Oryza sativa Japonica Group: one gene and its partners. The protein of the gene in region 1 interacts with the protein of each later gene in a pairwise test. Links are inferred from orthologs where the notes say so. Each region holds a gene or a part of one and is shown in the gene's direction. Other genes may lie near its edges. The genes, in order: scarecrow-like protein 3; uncharacterized protein At3g52155, chloroplastic; glyoxylate/succinic semialdehyde reductase 2, chloroplastic.

Region 1 (10,334 bases):
CGTTCTTTCTGCCTCTTTAACGGATTTCAGCCGGAACAGAGCAAAACTAAAGTAAATCTCCCAGTAAAGTAAAGCCACTTCAACGGATCTGCCTCTCGAAAGAATGATAATTGCTCACTCACTCACTCGTCGGTCAGATTTAAAGAGCTAGTACTAGTATTAACTGTTTTTTTAAGTACCCTCTCCCTTTGCCAACTGGAAGGAAGGAATTACTCCCTAGGTTTTTTTTTAAGTACTCCCTCCGTCCTTAAAAAATAAAAAAAGACAAACCCTAGATTTTTGTGTCCAACATTTGACTATCCGTCTTATATAAATTTTTTTATAATTAGTATTTTCATTGTTGTTAGATGATAAAACATGATTAATATTTTATGCGTGACTTATCTTTTTAATTTTTTCATATTTTTTTTAAATGAGACGGATTGTCAAACATTGGACACGGAAACAGATGATTTGTCTTTTTTTTTTATGGAGGGAGTACTCCGTACTACCCATCGCATTGATGAAACCCAGCTGGTTTTGTACAAACCGCCACACAAAGCAAAGCAATGGCTAATCGCATGGTACAACAACACACAATGTACAACAACAACATCTCTCTCTCTCACAAATGGCACAAACGCAATGCACATGCCCTGCCCCTGCCATGGCCGAGGTGGCCGGTGAACATTTATCAACGGGCACGCAAACGCAACTGCAGCTAAGCTACGAGTAGCTGCCTGCCTGCACTGCACGGGTCGTCACGGCGAAGGGAAAGGAGAAGGATGGGCCACCTGCGGGCGTAGGGAGAGTGAACACGCAGCGCAAGCGTCCAAGTCGCGGAAAAACTTGCTTGTCGTCTCGTCTTTTAATAGGGTGGACGGATCCACCGGACGCCAACACCCACTTCTTCGGTTCTTCCCCTCGTTTGCCCTTTGTTTTGGCCTTTGGAATTTGGATGCAGCCGCCCCCGCCCGCGGCTCCCTTGGACGCACTCGCCACCTCCCTTGTACTCATAGATACGGCGGCTTTAGCATGCTTTTACCTACCTATGTCATCACTTTTTATACATTTTTCTTAAGAAATACTAACCTCCGTTTCAAGTTAGAGCAGGTACAATACCAAGCTATAAACCAGCTACAAATATATTTTAAAAAGATAAAAGAAGAAAAAGAAGAGCAGCGGGCAGCACAGACTCCAAAACGTAATATGTGTATGACAAGTAGGACCAGATATTAATAGTATAGTAAGCAACTATTGTATAAATTGGCTATTACATTGGTTATAGATGATTTGGAGCTAGTAGTGGGCTATACTATTAAACTTGCTCTTATAAGACTTTTTAGCATTTCCCACATTCATATAGATGTTAATGAATCTAGGCATACATATATATCCAGATTCATTAACATATATATAAATGTGAAAAATGCTAAAAAGTCTTATAATATAAAACGGAGGAAGTAGCTCATATTTTGGCCTGAATTTGATAAAAAAGTAACTCTGTTGGTCAAAACTTTAAAACTTATGTCTTTAGCGATTTAAAAATCAACACGAGATATTAGTAAAGTAGAGGATACCGGTAAAACTATAAAGTTAAAATTTAGAAGGGATTTTTAAGCCATAAGGTATGAATAAATCATGCTAAGCAATTTATAGTTTTGCTCGGGGTTATTCCTACATGCGGTTACCGAGCTTATTGCAGGGGCATGATAGAAGTAAATAATCGGTAGGGTTTGATAAATTTTGTTTGAATTTTTTTGTTTAAAAAATGGTGGGAAATTTTCCACCAAGTAGTTCCTTTTTTTAGCATTAATTTGTCACAGTTTTGTTATGGTTATCGTACAGTAGCCGCGCTACTGTCGGGGTCGGTAAATATCCTAGAGATGGTAGAGTGAGGACAAACAGTACATGTAAGTCGAGTGAGGCCAGCAGGAGTGTTAATTCTGCGGTCAAACATGCATTGCGCATCAGAGCCATCCTAAGTTCTTTTTTACTCCGTATTATTTTTTCCCTTTAAGAGAGGCAAAACAGGACGCTGGATCACTATCTGTCCGTCTACAAGCAACCTCATTCTTCTCCCTTATAAAAACACATCCGAGTATGGAGCCCAGTGTCGTTGCCTATGTTTTTCCACCTTGTTCCACCTTTCAAAATATAATAATAGTTTTTAGGATTAGCAAATACTAAAGTTAGATAAAAAAGTTTACTCACTTTAATTATTATTTTAAAAAATTTAAATGTCTTAGATTTGCTTTTCAAGCATCTGATTGGTTTTGGAGTCATCGTCATTATTTTTCTAGTCAAACTTATTTAAGTAAAGTTTAATCAGGATTGTAAAAAATATAGCAACATTTTAAACGCAAAACAAACATTTTATCAAAATACATTTAATGTTATACTTAATTAAACTAATTTGGTGTTGTATATATAGATAAATTTTTCTAAAACATAGTCAGGCCTAAATAAGTTTATCTAGAAGAAAAAAAAATTAAAACGGCTTATGATATAAAATGGAAAAGGTATTATTAAGGTGCAAAATGTGGATCTTAAAATCTTTATATTCTACATTTTCTTTGTGCAGTGTATTGGGTTTTCCTCTCAGCAGCTAGCTCTAGTGAGCCTGCAGCAATTGAATGGGTTCTAGAGTTGTTTTCAGAAACCATCAGACTGACCGCGGGGGAGAGAGAGAGAGAGAAGAGGGTGGCAAGAAAGAACAAAATTAAAGGAGGAGGAGGAAGAAGAAGTGGGGGCGAGTTTTGTTTTGTTGTGGCGTCGTCGTCGTGTTGCGGGGATGGAGGAATAACGAGGCCCCAACACGCCATGCTCCTTCTTGTGTTTATTCTTCCTCTCGCCACCTCGCGACAAGAGTCGTGGGGGCTTACCGGTTTCTTTACCTTTACTGTATTTTACAATTATACTATTTATTATATATTGTCCCGAAAAAGCTATTTATGGTAGTACTGCGAGCCACCTTTTGCACATCCAACCCTGCATGCTCCCCAATTAGCAAAGCTAGTGTTCTTTCGGGGTAGCACAAATTGAATACTGCCTCCGGCTTTTAATAGATAATGTATTTTTGACCCTTTTTTTTATTATTTTTTTAAAAAATATAATTATTATTTATTTTATTATGATCTGTTTATTTCATTGAAATTACTTAAATAATAAGTATTGCATATGCTCTTTTTATTAATATATGTCTAAAAGTTAACAGTGACGTATATTAAAAATTAGAGAGAGTACTGCCACTGTCACGAGAAAACTCTATTTCTACTATATACACTTGGACCATTACACATGAATTAAAAATAAAGTATTTAGCATTCCTAATACTCCATAAGTTAAGAAGAACAAGAATGCATTCTTTTCTCTCTTAAAGTCGTATCTTTCTTGCAAGATTTTCTATGGCATATAAGAAAGAAGGCAAAATGCACCTTATATTTTAGCATAAATTTTGATAGCCTATGTCCAGGTAACATGGTAAAATTATTTTATTTCCTTCTCACTAGGTGTTGTTCTTTTTCAGATTATTCATCAGATTATTAAAACATATTATTTGCTCAACGCTTAGAAAATATTCTCTTAAATAGCTTTTTTACTGCATTGATTATACAATTATTTTAATCTACTTGTTAAGTTCATTTCTTTAATATTTATTTGTTCTTATAATCACTCCATAACCCGTAACAATAGTCTATTCAATAATCTAAATTAAACATGGCCTAATTTACAAAAACACAATAATCTAAGAAAAATGGATACACCCAAACTCATAGATAAAGCATTCAAAAAGAGATGATTTACACGCAAGCTATGAAAAACCGATAACGAGCTTTAGCTACTCGCCCATAATAAATACTTAATCCGTGACAACAACAACAATCTAAATTAAACACGTCTAAGTTGCAAAAGCACAGTAATATGACAAAAAAAAAGATGCTCCCGAACTCAGAAATAAAGCCATAAAGGATGGGATACCGATCGAAAAAAAAAAGAAGCACGAGGGTTTACACGTAAGCTAAAGTTAATACATAAGAAAAACCGATAAGAAATTCGGAAATTAGCGAGGTTTTCCGCTACTCGAGCAGAGGTAGAGTCGGTCCACGCAGATTACGGGAGAATAGAAGGGGCAGCGTGCAGTCTCGGACAGAAAAAAAAAGGAAAAAAAAAAAGAAGAGGAGTGAAATGAATGCTCGGGCCGGTGCCGGTGCGCGAGTGGAGACAAGCGCGATGCGGACAAAAAAAGCCTCCTCCGCTTCTTGTCGCCAGCGCGCGCACACAACCCCCCAAAAGTCCAAAGCGCAGGCCGCTACTACCACCAAACCCCATTTCGTTCATTTCACCTGCTCTCTCTCTCGTCCTCTTTATATCTGCAATTCTGCATCGTCTCCTCTGAAAGATTGTGAAATCCTCTCTCTTCTCTTGGGACGGACTAGGGACGCTGCTGCTGCTCCTCCTTGAGGTGAGCATTTTCTTCCTTCTCTTTTGTTCACTTGTGGTGGTATGCATGCATGCCGCTGCTATGCCTCGCCTCTCTCGATGCAAGTGTTGGAGGATAGGATAGGATGATTGATAGATAGATAGCTCTCGTCGTTGTCGCTCGCTGCTTGTGCTTGTGGGTTGTATCGCAGAAATAAATGGTGGCGATTTGCTTTTGTCCCGTTGCCTGAGGAAATCTGGCCCCGGTATTGTATTTTTGTTTCCCGAGCTGTTTGCTTCTTGTTTCGATCCTCTTGGACTTTTGGCGCCAGCTTCTTCTCATCGTCGCCTTCATTGCGCTACACTACTTGCTTTGCTTTGCTTTGATTATTAATGGCTTCTTCTTCGTCTCCAATCTAATTCTGCGCAGGCAGAGCTCGCAGCCTTTTGCACCCTCACCTCGCGGGCTCCACTCATCACAAAACCTCAAATGCGCCCGTGCTCGTAGAATCGATTGGATCAAAGGTTGTAGCTTTTTTGTATTTCAAGGTTTGGGGGGGTAGCGCTGGCGAGGCTGATGGTCCAGGACGAAGGCTCGTCGTCGTCGGTGACATCCTCCCCGCTCCACAACTTCTCCAACATGCCGCTCCACCCGGCCGCGGCGGCGTCGCCCACGCCGCCATGGATGGTGCGGGAGCTGCGTTCCGACGAGCGCGGGCTGTGCCTCATCCATCTCCTGCTCAACTGCGCCGCGGCGGCGGCGGCCGGGCGGCTTGATGCTGCGAACGCCGCGCTCGAGCACATCGCGTCGCTGGCGGCGCCCGACGGGGACGCCATGCAGCGCGTGGCGGCCGCCTTCGCGGAGGCGCTGGCGCGGCGCGCGCTGAGGGCGTGGCCTGGGCTGTGCCGCGCGCTGCTCCTGCCCCGCGCGTCGCCCACGCCGGCCGAGGTCGCTGCCGCGCGCCGCCACTTCCTCGACCTCTGCCCGTTCCTCCGCCTCGCCGGCGCCGCCGCCAACCAGTCGATACTGGAGGCCATGGAGTCCGAGAAGATCGTGCACGTCATCGACCTCGGCGGCGCCGACGCCACGCAATGGCTGGAGCTCCTCCACCTCCTCGCCGCGCGCCCCGAGGGCCCGCCGCACCTGCGCCTCACGTCGGTGCACGAGCACAAGGAACTCCTCACCCAGACAGCCATGGCGCTCACGAAAGAAGCAGAGCGCCTCGACGTGCCGTTCCAGTTCAACCCGGTGGTGTCCCGCCTCGACGCCCTCGACGTGGAGTCCCTCCGCGTGAAGACCGGCGAGGCCCTCGCCATCTGCTCCAGCCTCCAGCTGCACTGCCTCCTGGCGTCCGACGACGACGCCGCCGCCGTGGCGGGCGGCGACAAGGAGAGGCGGAGCCCGGAGTCCGGGCTGTCGCCGTCGACGTCGCGCGCGGACGCGTTCCTGGGCGCGCTGTGGGGGCTGTCGCCGAAGGTGATGGTGGTGGCGGAGCAGGAGGCGAGCCACAACGCGGCGGGGCTGACGGAGAGGTTCGTGGAGGCGCTCAACTACTACGCGGCGCTGTTCGACTGCCTGGAGGTGGGGGCGGCGCGCGGGTCGGTGGAGCGCGCGCGCGTGGAGCGGTGGCTGCTCGGGGAGGAGATCAAGAACATCGTGGCGTGCGACGGCGGCGAGCGGCGGGAGCGGCACGAGCGGCTGGAGCGGTGGGCGCGGCGGCTGGAGGGCGCCGGCTTCGGCCGCGTCCCGCTCAGCTACTACGCGCTGCTCCAGGCGCGGCGGGTGGCGCAGGGCCTCGGCTGCGACGGCTTCAAGGTCCGGGAGGAGAAGGGCAACTTCTTCCTCTGCTGGCAAGATCGCGCCCTCTTCTCCGTCTCCGCATGGCGCGGCCGCCGCTTCGACTGACCGCCGCCGCCGCCGCTGCCGCCGCTCGCCGCCGCCTTCCCGTATTTCTGCGAAGGAGACGCCGCCGCGACTAGATTACTTGCTGCTGCTGCTGCTGATGAACATTCATGGTTAAGCTAGTCTTTAATCTTTTTCTTTTTCATTTTTAGTAACTGTTTAGTTCCTTCTTCTGTTTGTGTCATCTGGCTTAGGTCCAGGTGAATTCGATGTCCTTGTGTTGTTTTGTTCATAGTGTGTGTGTGTCTCTCTCTCCGTTTTGGTTGAAATGCATAATTTTCCCTAGGAATCAATCAAGTGAAGTTTACTGAACAACTCCCTCCCTCTTTTTCGTACTACACTACTATTTCTGAACTACTTGCTCATCGGAAAGGCATGAAGGTCGTTGCATTTGGTACTAAAAGACAAGACAACAGTGCCAAACCTGAACGTACACTCCTACGTGAGTTTCGTATCAGTTACGTAAAGGAAATCCAGCAAAATTAAGCTCTGCCTGATGATGCCGATGACGACGAGAGTGGTAATCTCGTCCTGAAATACTATGACTTTGGATTTGCCCTTTTCTTTTCTCATGTTACGACGCTCTGAATTCTCCGTGGAAGAATTCAACTTTGGGCGTAGCAATTTCAACGTGTCGGAAGAAGCGGCCAAGATCGAGCTCACCTTGTCGGAAATTCCACGGAATCGGCAGCCGGTGGCGTGGCGTTTCCAAATTCCACCAAACTTCTGCCAAAGTTGGGAGCTCCAACCTCAAAAGCGTCCCTGCTTTGCTTTCCACGGTGAAATTGGTAGCACCACGCGTGATGTTAATGTCGGTTTCACCTCACAGATTAATCACCATCTAATCAGTCTCTCTTATCAAACATTAAAGAAGAAAAAAAAAAGATCGATCGAATCGTTCACCTGGAGCCAAAAGCTGTTGCCGTTTTACTAGCAAAGACGGATGCTCGGATCAGATGCTCCTTTCCTTTTCTTGACAAATGGCAAGGATGAATGGTTCCTTCCTCAAAAATTCGCCTTTGGATTATCGTTTTCACGGACCTGTTTGCTTCCTTCAGGTAACCGCATAGCTGCAGCCTGCAGCCACTGTGGATTCTACTTATTCTTCATGTTCTTCATACTAGTACTCCAGATATCATATTTGGATATCTGAAACTTTTCCTGATACACCTGTCCAACGTTTTCAAATATGTGATATTTAGAATTAAGTGGTCAAAATTGCATATTGGTCACTTCAGAAAGGTAAAAGATCTCATTCCTTTGTGACCTCTTTTTGGTTTTGAAAAAAAAACTACATTTTTTTGTAATTAGAAGAGAACGTGGAAGAGGAAAACAAGGGGTATAAAAGATCCAGGAGAAGCATGCAACCCAGCAAGCCTGGCTGGATGGGCCTTCGTGTCCTTCTAGATGGGCCCAATGGAGGCCCATAGTGTTCTGGTGTAATAATTGTTAAGAGAGGTCTTCTGTTCTCAATTATCAATTTTGCTATAGCTCACTCGAAAGATTTTTTTTTCTTATCTCTCACTCGATTTTCTCACTCAAATTTACAGTGCATTTTCTTGTAAGTTACAGTGTAACTTATGAAACTTACACTGTAACTTTTGTAAGTTACAATGTAATTTTTGAATCTTCGAATGTAAATTTTAAATTTTGTATTGGATTTGGTCTTTTTCTTGAGGATATGGTAATTTAGTGTCCATTATGGTGTTTCTTAATTGCTTTTTGCTTTTTATTATATCTATCGGATTTTAATCCAAAGATTAAAAATATGTGTGATACGATCATAAAAATCTTTCGAAAGATGTATAGGTACTCCCCTCAAATATTGTAAGAGGATGATCTGTAAGTGATATGTATTAATTAAGAAATCATATCGGACTCTACCTTTATACATGCCCTAACATGTGGATCTCTTGCCGATTCAACGAGTCAATCGCAGTCAACTTGTCATGTTAGCAGAAACCGTTTCCCAAACGACTGAATAAGTCAGTGTGCACCGGATTAAAGATGGGAGATGCTTTATACCCAATTTTACGTAGAGAGACGGTTTAATCAAGGAGCAGTTGATGGGAGAGGCGAGATAGACTTGTTCCAAAAAAGAAGGGACAGAAAGGTCCAGGAGAAGCATGCAGCCCAGCAAGCCCGGCAAGATGGGCCTTGGTGTCCTCTTAGTTGAGCCCAATGGAGGCCCAAATAAAACAGTCGCCTTCTCCATCGTCTCGTCTTGGTAGGTGGTGGATGGCCGGCGCGGGGATCGACCGCGTGACGGCGTGAGGTGCGGCGGCGGCGGCGGCCATGGCGCTCGCGCAGGGCACCGGCGACTTCTCCGTGGTGGTGCTGGGCTCCGACTTCGCGGTCGACGCCGGCGCCGTGCTCCTCAACCCGGCCGACCGGGAGGAGTGGCACGACTGCCTCCCCGACCTCTCCGCGCCCGCCGACGGCGAGGACTTCTCCGACCTCGAAGAGCTCCAGGTCGTCCGCGTCCAGGGCACCGACAGGGCCGGGAGGCGCATCGTCCGCGTCGTCGGCAGGTTCTTCCCTGGTGCGCCAAACGCCCTCTTCTCCCCACCTCTCCTTTCCTTTGTGGCTTTATCAGATTGGATCGTGGTTCCCTTCTGGATGTATCTATCATCTATGTGGGTGCGAATTATGTGAACTAAACAGGAAAAAAATTGGATCCTGGAGATTGATAGTTCATAGACCTTCTCAATTGTGTAGTAAATTTAGATTCTGATCCGCCTGCACTGTTCGGTAGATGCACCGAATTGAGTGTTTTGGACACGTTGAACTTGGGAGAGGTACACAGATTTGTTGAATGCTGGACCTTGAATTAATATATCAGAGCTCGTTTGCTAGCACTCGATCAATGGATGGTTTGATTGATCTTAACTAAATGTCAGATAATTCATTTGATAATTGCCTAGTTGGTACAACGTTTATCTCCGTTTTGCTGCCCTTCATTAGTGCCTGGCGCCCTGGCGGTGTATTGGAGCGGTTGCTGGTCATTTTTTATACCGATATTGGAAATAGCAAGCAGCTGTATGTTCATTTCTTGAATATAGTGTGCGGCTGCGACTGTCATGAAGTAAACCTGATGCTGTAATGCTCTTGTGTTAGGCCCTTACTCTTTTCTCATTGTCAACACTAACATAACATCTGCTTTTCGAATTCCAGCTCCTGTCATAGGTGGTGATCGTCTGAAGAAGTATGTTCTTCACAAGCTGCGCACCGAATTGCCAGAGGGGCCATTCTGCCTTTTGTACATGCACAGCACTGTGCAGTCAGATGATAACAACCCTGGTATGTCAATCTTGAGGGGGGTCTATGAAGATCTTCCACCTGAATACAAGGAGAGACTGCAGATCTTATACTTCTTGCATCCTGGGCTTCGCTCTAGGTTGGCCATCGCCACGCTTGGCAGGCTCTTTTTAAGTGGAGGGTCAGTATTGTCTCTAATATTTTCTGTTTTGCTGTTTCCCTATCTTATTCAGCAGAAAAATTAATGATTAAACTCCACCATATTGTTGCACCTCATAGACTAGGTATTGTAGTGGTAAGTAGACCTGTTTTAAATCGATAGGCAGGCTAGTAAATCAGCGTGCTTTCTTTTATCTGCAGTCTCTGGTACTGACATTTTGGTATTGATATTAGTTGAAACCTAAAATATGCCGCTAGCAATGGACACCAGAAGTTTTTTTTCTGACAGCAAGGGTTTTAGCTCTACCAGAACCTGCCTTACTGCAATTTGATGCACAAGTAATCTCATAACCATGCAAAACCTACTCAAAGTCTCAAATGTTACCCATACATTACTCTAGCAAATATCTTGAGAACATTTGTGAAATAGATCACTGACTTTTCCTCCTAAAGCATTTACATCTCCAGAACATCAGAAAACACCTGAAGTGGCAGCTGTACACTAGTTCTCCAAATTTTGCCTCTAAAAATATGCTTCCTTCAGAAAATGATAAGCTGAAAGCTGAAAACATATGGAAAAACAGATCTTGTACAAAGATGAGAAAACAGGACA
Region 2 (10,382 bases), on another chromosome or scaffold:
CATGAAGATGAATTTTCCCCCAATCATTTCACCAAGAAGCGGAGAAACCGCAGCAGCAATGAGCTCATGGTGGTCATGGCGCCGCCTCTTCTCCTCGTTGGATAATGGATGGGGCAGCAAAGCCGACGCTTCCTCCGGATCCGGCACCTCCTCCTCCCCTCCCGTCCCTCAAGCTCAACAAGCAGCAGCAGGGGCGCGCCACCAGGAAAGCGCTCGCACGAAGAAGCCTCGGGAGGGCGGGCCGGCCAAAGCCCAAGCCCAAGCCGAACCCTCGCAATCGCAGCTATAGCCCGCGCCCAGCAAGAATCGTCCTTCACCGCGAAAGGCCATGCCAAAGGTATCCAAGGCGAAGGTGCAACTGCAGCTCGGCGACGGCGAGCCAAAGAAAAAGCCAGCCCCGACCTCGTCTCAGAAGCGCAACAACAAGAAAAAGCGGGTGGCGGCATTCGAGCGTTGTGGTCCAAGGCCGACGAGCTTAGGATTTTGGAGGCCATGGCTAACCACGTGAACACCCATCGTAGCACTCTGTGGGATACATGCCGTCTGTTTCCCGCCCTTGCCAGCAGCCTCGACAAAAGAGACGCTGACCTGCCCGATCTCGCCGACAAAGTCCACAAGCGGAAGAGATGGTATGGCAATGCATGCTTGCAGCAACGCAGCCGGACTGACGACGACAATACGCGTTGATTGTTGGATCATGGAGCAGCACCAGGTGGACCTGATCGGCACGAACGTGGTAGCGCGGTGTGCTTCACCTAAGCCTAGAGACTGCGTCGCCCCCAGGGGTGGCGCTGGGGAGGCAGAATGTCTCCTTGTTTTTGTCCCTGGAGCTAGAATCCATGAGCTTCTCCAATGTGCTTCAAGTTATTCCTCTACACCCTGCCATGGCGATGGCAGCCACCTTTTCTTCCTCCTTCAGATCACGAGGAAAATGCAGTTTAACTAGCAATCTCAAATAATCCACCGTCTCCCAGCATTGTAACAATCGCATGAAGAAATAATCTGGTTTTCTTTTTGAATGTACTATATAGCCATTGGAAGGGTGTTTTTACTGTACCTCCCACAGGTGGGTGTACTAGTGTAGTAAGAATAAATCCCACTGTTGATTTTGGTGGCCATTTTAGTCATTTGTTTAATTAATCCCGTCTCCTCATTCGTCGCCGCCCTCGCATTTTAGCATCGTCGTCTGGCTCTTGCTGTGCGAGCGACGGCACCTCGGTGCCTCTTTCGTCGGCGGCGAGAAGAGCTGAAAGAGAGAGGAGGAGACGGGCAAGCGTCGGCCTCCGTGAGGGCGTCCTGAAGGTGAAGGGGCGAGCCAACCTCACCGTCGACGCCAAGGACAAGCTCCTCCTCCAGCTGGAGAGGCGAGACGCCGAGAGGGCAAAGACCTCCTCGGCCGCACCACCCACAAGACATGTCATCGCTGCTCCGGCAGTCCGGCCAAGGTGAAGAGAAATGGGGAGAGAGGAAGAGAGAAACGAGAGCGGGAGGAGGAAGAAGGATGGAGATAGAGAGGATAATATGTGGGCTCCACACTTTTTTTTTGTGTGAATGACTAATGGGTTGCACACATTTTTTTTAATTATAATGCCACGTAAGCGTCACGTCAGCGAAACCACTCTCCAAAACCGTTGAAAGAGTCAAATTATACTGGTTTCAATAATCAGGGGTCGTGATATATGGTATTATGGTTCAGGGATACGAATCAGATTTAGGCACTAATTAAAGGAGTGAAAGTGAACTTATTGTTGGTAGCGCTCGTAGAGATTCTCTAATAAACCAAACACAAAGAGCCCACTGTCCATAATCTCCAGCCCAGTAACAGCCCAATGGAACAAATTGCATATATCCACGGAAGACTCAACAACAGCCACAGGCGGACACAGTCCTCACTCCTCAGCGGCTCAGCGCAGAGGTCTCGTTCGTGCGGTGTCCCCTGCTGCCGCCCATGCCGCTGCGGCGCGGCGGAGCCCTCCCTCTCAGCGCCCCGCGGGCGGCAGCCGGTGGCCTCCGCGGAGGCGGCGGCCGTGGTGCCGCGCTTCTCCACCCGACCTGCTTGTCGCCGCCGGGAACAACTGGCCGAGCCTTGGGCCTCAGGTTAGCTCTGCTCATTGTTGTCTTCTATCCGTTACTTGAATTTTGTTATAAAAAAAAAAAAAGAAACACCAATTGGCAATTGGGTTCCAATTAGACTAAGTTCAGTACTAGGGGCATCAGAAATTGGGATACTTGGGGTTAAGACTAATTCAGAACTAAATTGTCGGAGCTATTGGGAGGCTGGGCGTCAATTTTTACTGTCACTTTTGAATATGTACCTTGTACCAGTTTCTTTCGAGCCCGTATGGATTGGGGGAATTTTGGGGGAGCAGCAGTTTTACCTTCTCCAATTCATTTGCGCACATATTTCTAGTTGGGGGTGTGTGCTGCGACAGTTCCGTGGCACTTTTAGTATATCTGGTTGTTTATGTTTATGATGAGTTCGTGCTACCTGAACCATGTCCATAGTCGGGATGTTCATGGATTTAGCACATTTTTTGCTGACTGTTAGTCCGATTATATTGTCTGTTCAGATTATATTGAAGTTAAGAAGCATATAGGTTAATGTAAAGCTAGGCACTGGGCTGATGTAAGTTGGGGGTTTGACTGTTTAAAATGAATATAATATGGGCTCACCCAAACAAAAAGGATGGAATAAAGGGAATTGCGTTGCACTGCATGTTGTTAGGAAATGCACGCCTGCAGGTTGTGCTCTTGAAGGTGACATGGATGCAGACTTTCGACAAAGTATTGCATTTACCTTCTTCAAACAGTATTGTGATTATGCCACTAGGTTCCATACAAAATATAAGAATTCGGCACGTAATCGTTATATAATATCAATTTGTGGTATACATTAGATCTTATTACTGATAGTACCCATTTTTAGTTTATATGGTATCTACCGCGTTGTATGCTTATACCATTTTGAATAAACAAAATAAAACAATAGAACTAATCCATCTGTCAACAAATATATGACACTTTGGACATGATAAGATCGCTAGTGTGTAAATTTGACCGTCAAAATAACTGTAATACATTGTGTTACCAAAACATTTTTTAGTCACTTAATTGTATTATTTTGACATGAGAAATGTAAGATAGTTCTCTATGTTGTAGTGGTCAAAGTTCAGAATGTTTCCCCACAAAATAAAAGTTCGGAATGTTTAACTAGTCAAATTCGAAGTTTCATATTCTCTGGGGGATGGGAGTAGACGAATTGCTAGCTTCAAAACTGAAGCCTTGTACAAATTGGGAAAAAAAACATGATTGGCGCTGCGCAATCAACTTCTTAAAATCTCTACCCTGTAGAAGCTTTGGCACTTTTGACTCAATATCTCCACTCTGTAGTTGCCAGATGAAAAGAACCAGATGGAAGCCAGTCTTTGCCTTGGAAACAGGTGGACCATCTAACGCTGACAACCAAGATTTCGAAGATGATGGTGGCTTTCTTGGCAGAACAAGGCTGGGAAGACTCATCCAGGCTGCTGCGAGGGAACTACTTGAAAAACTGAATTCTGCCAGGAACAAATCCCCCACAAAGATTTTCCTTGTGCTCCTTGGCTTCTATACCGCCAATGCATTGGCAACAGTCCTGGGGCAGACTGGTGACTGGGATGTTTTTGTTGCTGCTATTGTAGTGGCTACCATTGAGGGAATTGGCATGCTCATGTACAGAAAACCGGCCAGTAGGCCTCCTGGACGATTTTGGTCAATGATCACAATGGTGAACTACTGGAAAGCCGGCGTATGTCTGGGCTTTTTTGTGGACGCGTTCAAAGTGGGAAGCTGAGTTTCCAAATCACCTTCTTATATGTACTTACAAGATTTATTCAGCTGACAATGATACAACGAGTGAACTCCAAGGGTCGAAGCTGCTCCTGTGGTGTTGTATGCAGATAGATATGCTGTGAACTTTACTTCGGCTATAAAATGTACATATGATGTAGTCTTGTTTTGTATGAAATTCATGTAGATATATTATACTCTAGTTTGATGCCCATCTGTTCCTATAGACAAATAATGAAGCCTGTTGTAAGATGACTCTGTAGTTGGCTATGTCCACACCAGGCACACTATTTAATTAGCTACTTGTCTTATTGACTATTTTCCAAAAGGTTATGTTTTCTTGCTAGCTAGTCTCTCCTGTTCAAACAATGACTGAACCAGGACATATGTATACAGTCGCTTCTGTTTTGAATTTCACTTAGTTGGTTGTAATAATTTTATTTTGAGCTATAGTGCTAACCAGGACATATGTATACATCACTGCCTAATTTTGGCCTAAATTCGAAAATTTTCCTATATTTAGAATCCTTTTTGTCCTGTTATAAAATTCACTGCCTGAATTCAGAAGACCTATGTCTAAATATTCTTTTTGGCTTGTCAAATTAATGTGTTCTACGTAGGTCAAAACAGAGAAATTGTGTGGCATTGTTGTCACTATTTGAAATTTTAAAACATGTGGAATACTAAAAAGAAAACAGAAGGAGAAAAAAAGTGTAAATTTCATAAAATCCCATGTTTTGGGTACAAGCTATAAAAAACCACAAATATTATGTCATTTGGCATTAAATTCTAGGTATTATGGTTTAAATGTTTCACGAAATTCCACTGTTATGCATTTTTGAGCACGGATTAAGGCAAAATTCAAAAATATAGAGTACCTATAAAATTTTAAAAATTATCAAAAATTGAATAAATGTAGGGTTTCATGATACACGGAAACAAAAAAAAAACCCTGTGATTTTCTGCAACTTTCTACCTATTTTTTTTCTGAAATTTACTTTTAAAAGAAAATCAGGAGCATCTAGAGTCATCGTCTCCCTATCCATCCATTATTCTCTTCTCCGATGAGTCCATGACAAGCGACCGACCACCTCCACGACGACGACCCACCACCAGCAGCGGCGGCGGCGGCGGCGGCGGAAGATGAGACCTCCACCCGCGCCGCTCTCCGGCCGTGCCTCCCCGCCTCCCCACCTGCTCCTCCTCTCCAACTCCTCCCTCGCGCCGTCGCTGCCCACGGTCGCTGCCGCCTGCCGCATGCCTCCCGCCGCGGCGGCGGCGGCTCGCTCCGTCTCCGTCTCCGTCTCCACCGCCGTCGACGCGCCCACGGCGGCCGCCGCGGAGCCCGCGCGAGGGGACGCGGCCCCCGCGCCGGCGGCGCCGCCGCGGCGACGGCTCATCCTCCTCCGGCACGGGGAGAGCGCCGCCGGAGGGCGCCTCACCAGAGGTACGGGGCCCCCATTCCTTCTCTCTCTTGCTTTCCTTTCTTTCGAGAAATCGGATGGTTTACACCTGACAGTGGATAGGAGCATCAGCGATTTCTCTTTCTTGCGATAGGGAATATGATGTACATTTCTTTGCTATGCTCTGGCTGCTCAAAAGATTGGATGAGATAGTGCACTTGTTATGCTGTTTGACACATTTCTTTACTAGTGTTGCTTGCAGCAGAATTACAATGGTCCGATGAAATGAAACAATGTACTTATTCTAGAGAAATGTTGCTACATATACTACTCAACAAAAGGGTTATTGCAGTTATCAAAAGAAATGGTTCCAATGCATTTACCATTTGTGTGTTATATACTTCACAACATTAGTTTAACGGCCAACTCTTTGAATAAACTAGGTGATTCCCCGCACTTTGCTGCGGGAATTAGTAAGCGATTCTCAATATTTTTTTTTGACAGTCAAGCTAGGAGTAAAACGGGAAAAAAAAACATCAGGGTTAATCAGTACTTATTGTGAAACAAACAAATGATACTCGTGCTTTATTGTAAAACATATTGATGATAAATATATGTTAAACATTATAAAAATGATAGATATACTTATTAAAATATTATGCAAATGATGTGAGGGGTGCTGATTGGATATGCTTGCATGTTGATTTGTACAATTAAATAAATTGTAAATAATGTTGTATGCTTGCATGAGGTTAAATATGTAATTATTGCAAGTGATGATGTGGCATGGTTGTGTGTTGAGCTTTATACTTAGTGAGCTATAACTTTATAGAAAGTATAGATGTGAGAAAAGGGAACCGGGTGAGAAAGAGTCAAAATCGCCATATGCTCATTTGTTGTTTGTTCGATTTGCTAGTTAGTACGCACCATTTCGGTAGCCATGCAGTAGTATGATAATCCCGGATGTCTTTGTTGTTGATAATTACTGGCTCTTGCATTTATTTCTAAAAGACTAAACACCATTTGGCATGGCTATCAATGTCAGATCATGACAGACCTCTAAGCAAAGCAGGGAGAGCTGCTGCAATCAGTGTTTCTAACAAGCTACAACAGATGGGATGGATACCTGAGCTCGTCCTATGCAGGTAACAACTTAGCTTTTGTAAGAAAATCTGTATACATTGATTATGTAGAAGGCTGCTAATGGACAAAAAAGCTTGAAAGGCTGCTAATGCAATATGAGTGTTTTTCTGGAACTTCTTTCCGGTCAGCAGGGTGCAGATTCACATTAGCTTTTTCTCTACCTCCCCCTTTCTTTGCTCTTTCTTTTTTCAGGTAGGAGTAGATCTTGTGTCGCCATAATTGATATGGTATTGCCACGTGAGTTATGATTGCCTTGGATGTGTAGTGGTTCATCATATATACTCTACCGAGTTCTTTTTGGTGATATCTTGTTTCAGTGGAATGTACATGCCTGGAATACTTCTCTATTATTCATTATAAGTATCATCTTGCCCATCCAATTATTTGAACTTATGTCTCTGAAATGCCTAAAATCACATAAATTGTTTTTCTGGTATGCATATAAATAGAATAGGCCATCCACCTTAATTTTTTTTTATCCTTCTTCAATACAGTGATGCAACTCGTACAAAGGAAACTCTTAAGATCTTGCAAGACCATGTTAAGGGATTGTCTGAAGCAATCGTTCACTTTATCCCAAGTTTCTATTCAATTGCAGCAATGGATGGTCAAACTGCTGAACATTTGCAAAAGGCAATTTGTCAATATTCAAGTGATGAAATCCTAACTGTAATGTAAGTCTTCTAATTTGTTTCCAATCATCCTATGCTTTGAATCTCATGCTCAGATTTTTTTTTTCTTCAAGTCCGATCATGACATTTTTGTAGAATAAATATTCAGGTGTATGGGACATAATAAAGGATGGGAAGAAGCAGCCTCTATGTTCTCTGGTGATTCAGTAGTGCTTAAGACATGTAATGCTGCATTGCTTGAGGCTGAAGGAAAATCATGGGTTGAGGTTAGTATTATTCCTGTGACCAAAAGTTGATTCCTTTATTTCCTAGTTTTTGTACACTTCTATTTTGTGTCTGATGCCATACCATCATTTGGATTACTTGTGAATTGTCAGTTGAATCTTACGGCGGGTTACATTCTTAGAGCTGTTATTGAACCTCCATTGAAATGTAGTTCTGTTGTCCTTGCATCATGTAACAGTGGTCCTAAAAGGCAATTTAGAAATCCAACTATAACATATAACATATGATGTACTGCTTGATTTCGAGGAAATCAATGTATGACAAATTCGAACCCTCAAGACTAAACTAATGGGGACACACAAATTTGGCAATGCAACTAAATTTTCATAGGCCCATACCTTGACAGTTGTTAATGTGTTATGTGTATGTGAGATGAGGAAATATTAGCATATATAACCATTAGTTGATCAAGTTTCAGTAGCTTATGCAACTTGGTTAGTCATGTGGAAGTTGGTCTTATGTGAGATTCATGAGGTGACTTGGCCTCATCCAATGTTTTCGGTTTGTTTGTTGATGTTTAGAAGAAATGTAAAATCAATAATCTAGCACCTTACCACATGGAACCTAAGGTAGCAAACATTGGTATTTCAACAACTCCAATTTTGTACTTAAGAACAATAAGTCAAAAAAAGATCAAATTTGTTATGCCGTTTAGCTCAATTCAAACAGTAGTTCATGGGTGCATGAAAAGGGTAGCATATTAATGACATTCTCAGAAGAAGAAATGCATGAAATTGGCTGGCTGGGTCTAACGTAAATGTAGTAGGGGTTTGAAACTAGTGAGATTGAGGATGACTTAAAACACGGCATTTATTTTCATTGTTTTGCAAGGAATGGCATCTAGCAAGTGCTTGCAACAAGAATGTCTTAGTTCCACCATTGCAAAAGTCAGTATTTTCAAATGCACACCCAAGCAAGAAGCTGGCCTGTGGCCAAATGCTAGTAGTGTAAGTGTGGTTGTACATGCAGCATACTAGGGCTCAAATTCTATAATATTTGGCAATGACATCTATCCATCAATTTTACAAGTGTACATCCACACTCTGTGGGACGCATTTGATGCCTCCAACTGGACATGCATAGTCATGTACTCATGTGTGCCCGTGGTATTTTGAGAGGGCGTGTCTTTAGGGGTTGTTTGGTTGATGGCTAAGTTTACTACATCTCACTTTGTCACAAGTGTGTTATGCCACACAAAGTGAGGCTAGCAATTTGTTGGCCAGAAGTGTGGCTAAGTTTCGCAATAATTTCAGTCTATGACGCGTAGGAACAATGATTAGTGTGTAGAAATTATTATTCCAATTATTACACTGCAAATTGAATTCCAAAATTGATAATACGCCTATTGTAACCTTTGCAGAAACACACACAAAAACACGTGCCACCGCGTGCATGCTGTGCACACATATAAGTATAGGCATGAAAGGCCATAGTTCTGTAAACACGTCAATTTGCTCGACATATTTTTTTTTAAATACTGAGTCTCTAGATCGTTTGGTGTTAGAAAATTTGCTAAATCTCTTTGCAATATGGTATGCAGGCCTTTTCGCTGGCTGGGCTTGGGGGATGGAAGCTTCATGGCATTGTAAAGCCATAAATCGTTGTAACTAAAGATAGATGCCATTTTTGTAGCTGTTTTCTTAATCCTCATTTAGTCATTTTTCCTCTTGTATAAGTTGTAACAATCGTTAGATCTCACCGAAGGAATAACATGAATAGATAGATGAGATAAATGAAAACCTCTAGATGCATTAAATACCAGTACTGTATCTGATAAAACCAAGTTTATAGAGCGGCCAAAAAAATGCTTGGTTCTATCTTATAGGTATAAGTTCACTTTGGCTACCTTGACTAGTCACCGAATCTTATCACCCAATTATTAAAACCGATGTAATTTATCTTTCTCAGTGGTTTTAAAACACGGTTTAGCTTACTAGCACCTACATGGAGGTGTTGATCTTATCTTCGTTCCACGTGATGCTTATGTGGCATTAGAATTAAAAGAATATACATGAGATCATTTGTCATTCACACAAACAATATTGTGGGACCCACTGACATGTGGGGTTCACATGTCCTCTCTCCTTCCCTCCTCCCTCCCTCCCTCTCCCTTATCTCCCTCTCTTTCTCTTCCTTTATCTTTCCCTTTGGCCGTCCGTGGGGAGCAGGGACTAGAGCGGTGGCGGTGGGTGAGGCCGAAGTGGCAGTGGCTAGCTGCAGGGCGGGAGCTAGAGCGGCGGCGTTGGCGCTCCACATCCACGTAAAACCTTTTCTTCCTTCCACTTCTCTTTTCTTCTCTTTTTCTCCAAGGTGGTCGGTGGTGGGCAGCAGGGAGAGAGCCAGGCGGCGATGCATGGCCTCTAGGCGCCGTTCCTCTAGCCATGTCACCTCCTCTTCCACCTTTGGTATGGCGACAGCGTGGTGAGTGAATCTGGGGGAACAAAGGAGCGTGCGGAGGCGGTCGACCAAGGGCAGCGATGACGGTCGGGTGTGGGGGTGGTGTGGGAAGGCAGGCACCCCTGGACCTACGGTGGTAGGCCTTGAGGCACTTCTTGGGGTAATTCATGTAGATGCCACTCATTATGTTCACCTCACTGGAATTTTGATATAATTTTATCTTCAAATATAAACCCCCAATTATCGTACTGAGCCCAATCCGAAATGTTCTCATCTTCTACTTCATCTTCTTCCATTTGAACCCCTAGCTCTCCGTGCAAGGTCCAACAATTATAGCTAGGCATGAACCCCGACTCAAACAAGTGGAAATGAATGGTTCTTAATGTAGAATACTCCTTTTGGTTTTTGCACTTATTTCATGGGTGAAAGTGCATTAATCCCCCTAGTGGGTTTTGGTGATTAATGACAAATGTGGTTAAGGGACTAATGAGTTCATTGAGTAACTTTCAGGTGCATTAGTCCAAGGTGTGGAAGATGGATGCTTGGAGAGCCCCCAAAAGTATAAAATCAAAGCGGACCGGAACTCGAGAAGTGCATAGGATAGTTTATTTATTGCAATCGAGTTTTTAGGAAAAACCGTACTATTAAGAGGGGTTCCAGGTGATGCTCTGAGATATCTCAAGTGCTCTTAGAG
Region 3 (10,226 bases), about 20 Mb from region 1:
TTAGGCAGTAGTTTTTTAATTTTTTTAAGATGAAGGGTGTACGTAAATACAACAGTAATGTGATTAAAAGTAGCTTGCTGTGTTTTCTTTTCGTGTTCTCCTCTTGTGCCTTATGAAACTAACACTCCCGATGAAACGGAAGTACTAGTATGGTTCGAAAAGGACTAGAGAAATGGAAATGTGTAAGATAACAACTGTTTTTTGGGCAACAACAAGCCAAATTTATCTTGTAGGGGACCTTCTGTTTTTGCCGATAAGGAATGATGATGTCTTGTTTATCGCTATGTGCATCTCACTTTTTGCAATTGGAGTTGCACAAACACAAGATCATCTTTGGCAAAGATAGGGATAAGAGCGGGTTTAATCTAGTTTAACTGAATAAACTAACTTTTACTTTTTATATTAAAACTAAAATGTACATCATCTAGTCAGAACTAAAATGAATTAATTATTACTCATATGTCGACCCACGCCAAAATCCCTAGACAAAGGAAGGACAAAAAGGAAATGAAGATTTGATTTGTTAGTGGCGAAAACATTGCCATAGTTCTCATATGCTCTTATGTCATGAAAGATGTTCATCAAATGTGGCCTCAAAAATATAACTATAGTAGGAATTATAACAATATGACAATGCCTTTCGATACATATATAAATATGTAATTGTTATATCTCTAATCTAACTACAAAAATAAATAATATGCATCTAATTAAGTTTTGAGGCCGATTTTCGTGGAAATTAATTAACTAGTTCCTACGAATGCCTTGCAAAATTTCCGCGCGACAGTCTGCACATTAAGGAATAACCAGGAAGCTTAGACTATCTAGTACTCCATCCGTTTTTTAATATATGACACCGTTGACTTTTCAATTAACGTTTGACTATTCGTTTTATTCAATTTTTTTTGTGCAAATATGAAAATATTTATGTCATGCTTAAAGAACATTTGATGACGAATCAAGTCACAATAAAATAAATGATAATTATATAAATTTTTTGAATAAGACGAATGGTCAAACGTTAGATAAAAAATCAATGGCGTCGTGCATTAAAATATGTAGTACATTATTACCCATTGAGCTCCTGTTTTGACGGCCGGGGTTAAACTTTGGAGGAATCACGTGGTCGACCGGCTAAAACCCAGGCACCTAGCTAATTAACCCCTGGCTGTGCCCTTCCAACATGTACGTTGCAAACATGTTTGTTAATTAACTTTAGCATCAGAATGGTGATGGGTTTGCATATATTAGACAATTTATTAATTAACGTCGCCCATGGGTTGGATCTAGAAATCTTTTCTCTCTCACTGCAGTTCATGTGCTGATGTCACAATCACACCGTTCTATTCTCCTGTGGAGGACACCTGTGTATGGTGCGGCGTGTACCATAGTCCACGCCATGTGTATTGTAAGACAGCACCGTATTATCAAAATGGGACGGTGACGTCTTCTATTTGTTACAATTTTTGTGTGTGTGTGTGTTAATATCCTGTTCAATTAAGATGAAGCTTTAAAAACTATAAGGTTGCTAATTAAGTATTGCAAGATTACATAACTAAGAGGTCATATCACATAGGTTTTTAGACGGAAAAAGATCCCCTGCCACAACTGCAAACTTCCGTTTTAGGCTCCACCTTGACAGGCCTTTGAATTTGAATAAACGCGGCCAAATGCTATGCAATGGATATGTTTGTTTTTGATTCATGGAGCTTTAATTCATTAAAAACCCCTTTGATTTGGAGGAAGAACTTATTTGGAGGATTTTAACGCTTTAGAAAAAATTCCTATAAAGGCCTTTGAAACAAAGGATAAAATCCTATCCTATTCATTGAAATTTCTATGGAATGGACAATCCTATAGAGATTTTGGAGAAAATTTAGCAAGAACTCTAATCTCTTGATAAATTTTCCTTTGAGTCTATCTCTTTCTTCCAATTCCTACATTTCAAATGGTCATTCCTGCATTTTGCACTTACATTCCTATCAGAATCATGTGTTTTTCTTATTCTTTCTTTTTTTATTTCTGCGATTCAAAGAGGCCCTAAAAACCACTTCGAGTCCTATGAAAAATATAGGAAATTTGGATGATTTTAATTCTATAAGAATAAAAAAAAATCTTTGAAGATCTTTGAAAGAAGGGATTGAATACTACCATTTACTTTGAAATTTCTACACAATGAACAATCCTACAGAGTCTACAGAGTGGTGAGATTTTGGAGTAAAGTTTTTCTTTTTAACTTTTCCCAGAAAGATAGGGTACTCCATTTGCACATCAGCACATACCAGAGTGGCACTCAGCTCTACTAGTGTATACTGCAAAAAAAAAAAGAGAAGAAAAAGAAGGCACATGCCATATTCTGCATACAAAGGTAAAAAGAGGAAGAATATTTGCAAAGCTAATTCAGACCTATCCCTCCAATGCAGTGCAATGATTTGTCTTAAGTCCCACTTCTCCCGGTTCCCAAGTGAAGGAAGGCCGGAGCATATGCCTACTCCACAAAAGAGAAATTAAAATACAACATACTAATGGTACAAGTAATAATCACATGGAGATGAAGAAGAGTCAAACAATATATGAATCCAATTCTCACAAATATTTTCTTGTTGTAAATTGTCTCCATGATTAGAAGATCAACCCTGGAATAGATGAATAGGAAATCATGTATGATCAATCCTTGAATAGAAGAAATATGAAATCGTGTAGTATAATGGTTTTCTGATAAAAGAAATAAATAGAACACAATGTAGTAGTTCTTCACATTCTTACAACAACACCCCTTCTGTCCAAAAACATATACTCACTTCGTCCCAAAATATAGCAACTTTTGATTGGATGAGATATACCCTAGTACTATGAATCTAGATAGGTGGTCTGTCCAGATTCGTAGTACTAGGATATGTCCTCCTATCCAACCAAAAGTTACTATATTTTAGGATGGAGGGAATATTTCTGAAATTCTCAATATTTGTAAGTAAGCAGCAAGTTTTCTTCACTGGATGTTGTTTCATGTCAAGTTGACGCTCAGTTTACGTTTTTACATGTAAATTCCTTGCCTGATAGCATTAGATTCATATTTGGAATTAATTTTACATGATGCCAATTCATAGTTGTTGATAATATACTGTAAAAAAAATCAACGGCAAAAGTTGTGTATTGAAGAACATGTCTATTACTTATGCATTTATATTTACAGAGGTGGTACCTTGAGAATAGAAGAAGCCGTCGTGGTGAAAACCCCAACCAAAATGTGTGAATTGATGATTTGAAGGCATGAATCAGCAACACATGATATGATGGTTTGAATTATGTTTAAATTCAAAACTGATCATCCAAAATTCTTCTTTTCTCATGTAAACTCTAGTGGATAGGTTTGTACGGAGGAAAATTTTCCCCAAATGTGTCGTACAAGGTTAAATATTGTGGAATACTATAAAAAGTGGTAATTAGCTGTTAGACACTTCTCTCATTATTTTATTATTTCTGGTCAAAATGGAGAGAGAAAGAGTTGTGTAAGTACCAAAATACCCCTGTACAGTGTTCTTCCTCTCACTTCTTTTCTTTTCCCCTCTTCTTCTTCTTCGCAGTGGAGCAGAGGGCGACGGCGGCCGGCCCGGACGGCGGACGGCGGGGCGGCGGCGGCGGCGCATCGCCCACGGCGCCGCCGGCGACGCCCTCCGCGTCGGCGCGGTGCGCGGCGGCGGTGGCGGGCTCGACTTCTTCGCGTCGCGCTCCCACGCCGCCCACCTCATCGACCTCGTCACCTCGCCGTGGCCCGGCCGCGTCGTCGCGTCCAAGCACGCCGCCGCGTCGTCGCGTGCTTTGCGGCGAGCTGCCCGAACAGCACATCATCAGCGTCATCGAGGAAGCCGCGCACCACGTCTGTGAGGCACTGGCAACGTCGTCGAGGCCGTCCGCCACGTGCGCTCCGTCATGGGCGAAATCCGCGCGCTCCGCAACATGGACGACGACGAGGTCTTCGCCTACGCCAAGCGCATCGCCGCGCCCTACGACCTCGTCATGCAGACCAAGCAGCTGGGCCGCCTCCCCGTCGTGCAGTTCGCGGCCGGCGGCGTCACCACCCCCGCCGACGCCGCCCTCATGATGCAGCTCGGCTGCGACGGCGTCTTCGTCGGCTCGGGCATCTTCAAGAGCGGCGACCCCGCGCGCCGCGCCCGCGCCATCGTGCAGGCCGTCACCCACTGCAGGTTGTCGCGTCCAAGCACGCCGCCGCCTCGTCGTCCTCGCTGGCGGAAGAAAGAGAGGAAGAGATGAACGGAGAGAGAGAGAGAGGAAGAAGAACAATAGAGAAAGAGGGATTGACAAGTGGGCCCATGGGAAAATTTGTCTTTAACTAAATTTTTTCAATCCATTTTGACAGTTAAATTTTTTCAATCCATTTTGACCGAAAATAATAAAATAATGAGAAGAGGGTCCAGCAGCTAGTTACCACTTTTTTAGTGTACACGAGCAAATACACGATCTTCGGCTGTCTCACAACAAAGATCACATAAATCTTTCGGTGTCCTATAGCAAATTTTGCCATGTATGAATTGCCACTTTGGTGTGGTTGTTGGCTATGCAGAGGATAAAGATGACGCGATCGAACTGTAGTAGTGCGAGTGCGTGTGTGACGCAGAGGCATCCACGCACCACGTACAACGGGTCGAGTAGGTCGTAGCCAGCCTCAGACCGGGCCCGGACCACGGCTCGACCGGGTCGGGTCAGACCGTCATCGCATCGCATCGCTGCAGCCGCGCGGCGGCGTCGCGCCCAAACCACCGCCGCGAGACGAGATTTTGCGCGCCCGCATCGCACTCGCAGCAGCAGCGCCTCCTTCCTTATCTCTCTCTCTCCCCCCTTCCTGCATCCATGGCGGCGATGGCGGCGGCCTCCCTCCTGTGCGCGAGGGCGGCGGCGGCGGCGCCCACGCTGCGCCTACGCGGCGGAGGCAGGGGAGCACGCCTCGTCTTCTCCTGCTCCGCCTCCTCGTCGTCGCCGTCCGGGGAAGGAGGGTTCAGTGGGAAGGTGGGGTTCCTCGGCCTCGGGATCATGGGCGCACCCATGGCCTCCAACCTCATCAACGCCGGGTAAACTAATCCGCAACTGCTCTCCTCCTTCCTTTTGCACTCTGCTCTTGGTACTAGTAGCTGTTACTACTGTTCTACATATCTTTTTCTCTCTCCTGTGGAATTCGTCTCGAGCCTAGTTCGTCAGCTTCTGCTTGTACGGTTTCGATGGTGTTCATGGCTGCTGCTGCTGCTTCTGCTTCTGCTGATGCTTCTACAGTTGTGTGCTTGTTTTGTCTCCTCTTGCTGCAGGTGCGATGTCACGGTGTGGAACAGGACCAGGAGCAAGTGCGACCCGCTCCTCAGCCTCGGCGCCAAGTATGCCATCCCCACCCGTTGCATTTCCATTTCCATTTCCATTTCCATTTCCATTTCCATTTCCCCTTATGAATCAACAATCTAGCTGGCTAGCTAGCTTTGCTTGCTTGCTTGTTGAATGGGTGAGGCAATAGTGTGCGCCATGATTAGGATTCTGGAGCTGGACAGTGGACACTGCAATGCAATGCAGTGCAGCTCTGGATTGGTAGGCACAAACGGAGATTGTTCATAATTTGCTCTTCGTTTGTGATTCTTTACTTTCTTTTCGATGACATATGCTCTTTTCCTGAAATTCCACTCAGAAGTAATCCACTTGTAGAGCACAGAGGCTTTACAGCTATAACAAATTTGCTGTCATTACTGTTCATGCTGACCCAAACAGAGAGACAGGGAAAAGAAAAGAGAGAGAAAAAAAAAGACATAATTCTATTTGACAAAAAGATATGTACAGCACTTTGCTTGATACAAAGAGGATGCCTTGCCTGCCTACAGGTACGAGCCTTCACCGGCCGATGTTGCTTCGTCTTGCGATGTGACCTTCGCGATGCTTGCTGATCCGGAGAGCGCGGTATATGCCCTCGTTTCAGAAAATTCTTCAGTCTGCAATACTATTTCGTGTTCGTGAAAGCTCACATGGCAGATCTAATCATTCGTCTAACGGTTTGTACCTCCACTCAGGTTGAGGTTGCATGCGGGGCCAATGGAGCTGCACAGGGGATGGCCCCAGGGAAAGGGTAATCTTTGCTGTGAGAAGGCATCAGAAAGCCTGGAGCATCAAGAATGTGCTGGCCTAGATAGCATTATCTCTTATATCGTGTTTTCTGTCACAGGTATGTGGATGTGTCGACGGTTGACGCTGCTACATCCAAGCTGATTGGCAAGCACATTACAAGTACTGGGGCATCTTTCCTTGAGGTAGTTTCTGGTCCCTGCCACTGATCGTACCCTACTCGTCATGTGTTCAACTGTTGATTGTGTTGTCTCAATGTGTCGCTAGCGATGCGATTTCAGCTCTTGTACTGTTGGTCCAATGCTAACTCGATACCTTTTCAGTAGGCTCCAGTTTCAGGCTCAAAAAAGCCAGCAGAAGATGGGCTGCTCATCTTTCTTACCGCAGGTAAACTTCCACCTGACACCTCCAAGCTTTGTAATTGTGAGATTTCAGTGTGCAGCTGTCATGTTCCTTATTATGTTACCTGAAATGGTCCATACGTTTGTGTAAGGTGATGAGTCCTTGTACAATAGAGTGGCATCCCTCCTTGATGTTATGGGCAAGGTTAACTTCTTTTATCTACAATCAGTACTCCATTTAGGCCCTCATATTGAGCCAGGAAATGCACTTACGCTGTCCTTACTCTGAAATCAGTCAAGATTTTTCCTCGGTGACGTTGGCAAAGGTGCAGACATGAAGCTCGTTGTTAATATGGTCATGGGGAGGTACCAAAGAAGTCCTTCACATTCAATATTCTAGCAACCTTACTCCTGTAGTCTGTTGATACTTATTAATGAATGAGTTCTGATCTTCTTGGCAAAATACTGCAGCATGATGGTTTCGTTTTCAGAAGGACTGCTCCTGAGCGAAAAAGTTGGCCTAGACCCCAATACTCTTGTCGAGGTTAGTTAGCTCTTACAGTGCTTCAGTGGTAAATACCCAAGTACAGGAATCTAATCTAGGACACACCATACATTGATCCTTTACAGGTTATTTCACAAGGTGCTATCAGTGCTCCCATGTTCTCCCTCAAGGGCCCTTCCATGGTTAAAGCTGCATACCCTACTGCTTTTCCTCTGAAGCATCAGCAGAAGGTAGCCCCTACTTGCATGTTAATGTTGCCAGCACTAAAAACCAGCAACAATTGCATCTCGTCTGATTTCTGTGGCACTGCGAAAAACTGGATTTTTCATGGCAGGATTTGAGGCTCGCATTGGCCCTGGCAGAATCGGTGTCCCAGTCTATTCCTACAGTCGCAGCTGCAAACGAGCTGTACAAGGTCGCGAAATCGCTTGGGCTTGCAGACCAGGACTTCTCTGCTGTAATCGAGGCGCTGAAGGCAAAGGAGCAGAGCAAGTGAAAACTGCCATTGATGCATAGGAAACAAAATGTTTGTTCAGCTGCCATTGATGCAGCATTGTCTATCAATGAACTGAAACCATGGCAATTCTCCCAATTTTGTTACAGAAGTAATACTTGTTTTTCAGGAATAAAAAACTGATTGATGACAGAATACCTGCAATTGGCGAGTATCTGGCCCCAACATTACTGTTTGTCATTACACGGCAATTCAGCAAAGATACAGAAAAACTTCTTTTGTCAACTTGCAGAACATACAGTACAACAAGGGAGCATCACAGGGCTAAAGAAATGGACTCTGGAGCTACCATTCTAGACAAATACAACAGGTTCTCTGTTAGGTATAACCATCCAACGTCTAAGGTAGCTGAAAATTATTAGGATGTAAACAGTATTTCCGTGTGTGTGGCCATGTGATACAAAAATTCACATATCAAGCAGAGTCTAAATGTGCCTTCTACAATGTTATGATTTCTCTTATGTTTTCTTACCACACACTTGAGGAACATGAAACGAAATAACAGCTTACACACAATCAATATGTTCTATTGATGACTGCAGCAGCATTAGCAAACTCTTCGTGATCCTCAAGAGCTGTCAATCGATCCAACATCATTTGGTGACTGCTAAGATCCGATACCGGCGATTTCACCCTTCGCTTTCGCTGCAGCTTGCTGTGCTGCGGCTGCTGCAGCTGCCGCTGCCGCTGCAGCTGATGCAGCTGGAGATGATGGTACAGCTGGTGTCTTCTGTGGAGCTTCAATAGCATGCTCCTGCTGCTGCTTGTTGTTTACTTGGGCCAATATGTTCTTTATTTGGGCACCGGTGAGCGTCTCGTGCTCAAGCAGCGCATTGGCTAGAGCATGGAGCTCCTTGTTGTGTTTGATGAGAATATTCTTTGCATTGTTGTAAGCATTCTCCACGAAACACTTGACCTCCTTCTCAATCAGGAGTCTCGTTTCGGTGCTCATGCTCTTTCCATCATCCTCATAATTGTAAGAAACAAAGCCAAGCTGCTTGCTCATACCATATTTGGTTACCATTGCTCTTGCCACTGCAGTTGCTTGCTGAAAATCAGATGAAGCGCCAGATGTCACCTCGCTATCCCCAAAAATAAGCTCCTCCGCCACCCGCCCTCCCATGCACACATCCAGCCTTGCCAGCATCTGTTTCCGTGACACGCTTGTCTCATCTTTATCCGGGAGTTGGGCCACCATTCCAAGGGCCATTCCCCTGGGAACTATGGTAGCTTTGTGAACAGGGTGAGCACCTTCAGTGTGGATGGCAACAAGGGCGTGCCCTCCCTCATGGTACGCCGTCAATTTCCGGGATTCATCAGAAATAACTGCTGACTTGCGCTCACTGCCCATCATGATCCGGTCCTTGGCATACTCAAGATCATTCATTGTAACGGCTTTTGCCCCATCCATGGCAGCTTTAAGAGCAGCCACATTAACCAAGTTAGCAAGGTCTGCACCTGAGAATCCAGGTGTTCCCCTGGCAATGATCATCAAATCCACATCATCACTCTTCAAGACCTGTAACCATATGTGTATAAGGATAAATATAAGACATTCCATCTTAGTCTGGACAAACATGATACCAAAAGTTCTCAAGAATTACCTTTGACATATGGGACTCTAGGATTTGCCGCCGGCCTTCAACATCTGGATTTGGAACAACAATATGCCGGTCAAAGCGCCCAGGTCTCACTAGTGCTTTATCTAGGGACTCAGGAAAGTTGGTTGCAGCAATAACAATTATCCCCTCATTCTGCTTAAAGCCATCCAGCTCGACAAGCAACTGGTTCAACGTCATCTTCATATACTGTTGATCCTTTGGATTTCTACTCCCACCGATCGCATCAATTTCATCCATGAATATGATACAGGGAGAACGTTTTTTAGCTGCAGCAAAAAGGTCCCTGACTCTTCTAGCTCCTACGCCTACAAACATCTCCTCAAATTCACTACCACTGCATGAGAAGAAAGGAACACCAGCTTCCCCAGCAATAGCCCTTGCTAACATGGTCTTTCCAGTGCCAGGAGGACCAACCAGCAAGACACCTTTTGGCAGTTTTCCACCAAGACGTGTAAAACGCTGAAAACAAGGAAGCAGCTTGTCATTTGCCGTATAACATATGCATGTGATGAAAATGAGGGGTAAATCCTCACACCATTTATGGGCTTAACGATGCATAAACAGATATATGTGACATAACCGGACATCAATTCCACACATTATCTAAATAGTAAATTTCACATTGGCCACATATTTTGACCAAAGTTTCATAATGTACCAGGGATTAATCAATGTTTTCACATAACACCATGTATATTATTTCATTAGTTTGTGGTTTGGACTAGGGGTAAGCATACCAAGAGAATATGTGAGAACTTTATGTGGTTAAGCATGGATGAATACCAAAATAGGAGGTAACACATTGTATGTTTTGTTCATTCTTTTTAGTGGTATCTAATCAATAAGTTCTATTTATATTTCGTTTTTATTCATTTGCTCCTCTGTGAGTCTGTGTAGATTAATTTGTGCCCTTTTTAGAACATGTTCACATCACTGTTTCCTGTGATCTGTTGAAAAAACTTGTTTTTCGATTTGCTAAAATACCATTTGACGGAATTCTCTAAATATATTTATCTTACTATTATGAAACACTAAAATGATTGTTTGGATTAGCTTTTTTTCTCACATATTCCCTTGATGTGCTCAACCCTAGTCCAAAGTCCAAACTACCAAAAATGCTAAGATATGTG

What was found.
Region 2: the proteins of scarecrow-like protein 3 (region 1) and uncharacterized protein At3g52155, chloroplastic interact in binary tests that used the Arabidopsis thaliana proteins (3 or more experiments, as listed by UniProt). The link is inferred for Oryza sativa Japonica Group from reciprocal best matches to the Arabidopsis thaliana genes SCL3 and AT3G52155.
Region 3: the proteins of scarecrow-like protein 3 (region 1) and glyoxylate/succinic semialdehyde reductase 2, chloroplastic interact in binary tests that used the Arabidopsis thaliana proteins (3 or more experiments, as listed by UniProt). The link is inferred for Oryza sativa Japonica Group from reciprocal best matches to the Arabidopsis thaliana genes SCL3 and GLYR2.

The regions. Positions count from the first base shown.
Region 1 is NC_089035.1:42,359,086-42,369,419, forward strand, and holds scarecrow-like protein 3, read left to right. Parts: upstream 1-4,299; 5' UTR 4,300-4,444; intron 4,445-4,831; 5' UTR 4,832-4,978; coding exon 4,979-6,307; 3' UTR 6,308-6,619; downstream 6,620-10,334. Other genes in the region: uncharacterized protein, read left to right, coding at 8,600-8,846, 9,479-9,743. UniProt on the Arabidopsis thaliana protein: Probable transcription factor involved in plant development.
Region 2 is NC_089043.1:10,764,045-10,774,426, reverse strand, and holds uncharacterized protein At3g52155, chloroplastic, read left to right. Parts: upstream 1-4,860; 5' UTR 4,861-4,971; coding exon 4,972-5,275; intron 5,276-6,276; coding exon 6,277-6,376; intron 6,377-6,868; coding exon 6,869-7,048; intron 7,049-7,154; coding exon 7,155-7,272; intron 7,273-8,831; coding exon 8,832-8,888; 3' UTR 8,889-9,212; downstream 9,213-10,382. Other genes in the region: ycf20-like protein, read left to right, coding at 1,949-2,097, 3,391-3,832.
Region 3 is NC_089035.1:22,656,447-22,666,672, reverse strand, and holds glyoxylate/succinic semialdehyde reductase 2, chloroplastic, read left to right. Parts: upstream 1-4,800; 5' UTR 4,801-4,869; coding exon 4,870-5,087; intron 5,088-5,318; coding exon 5,319-5,384; intron 5,385-5,876; coding exon 5,877-5,952; intron 5,953-6,062; coding exon 6,063-6,118; intron 6,119-6,214; coding exon 6,215-6,299; intron 6,300-6,440; coding exon 6,441-6,501; intron 6,502-6,607; coding exon 6,608-6,660; intron 6,661-6,750; coding exon 6,751-6,821; intron 6,822-6,926; coding exon 6,927-6,999; intron 7,000-7,085; coding exon 7,086-7,190; intron 7,191-7,294; coding exon 7,295-7,456; 3' UTR 7,457-8,081; downstream 8,082-10,226. Other genes in the region: probable pyridoxal 5'-phosphate synthase subunit PDX1.1, read left to right, coding at 3,931-4,272; aTP-dependent zinc metalloprotease FTSH 5, mitochondrial, read right to left, coding at 8,082-8,993, 9,079-9,555. UniProt on the Arabidopsis thaliana protein: Catalyzes the NADPH-dependent reduction of glyoxylate to glycolate as well as succinic semialdehyde (SSA) to gamma-hydroxybutyrate in vitro.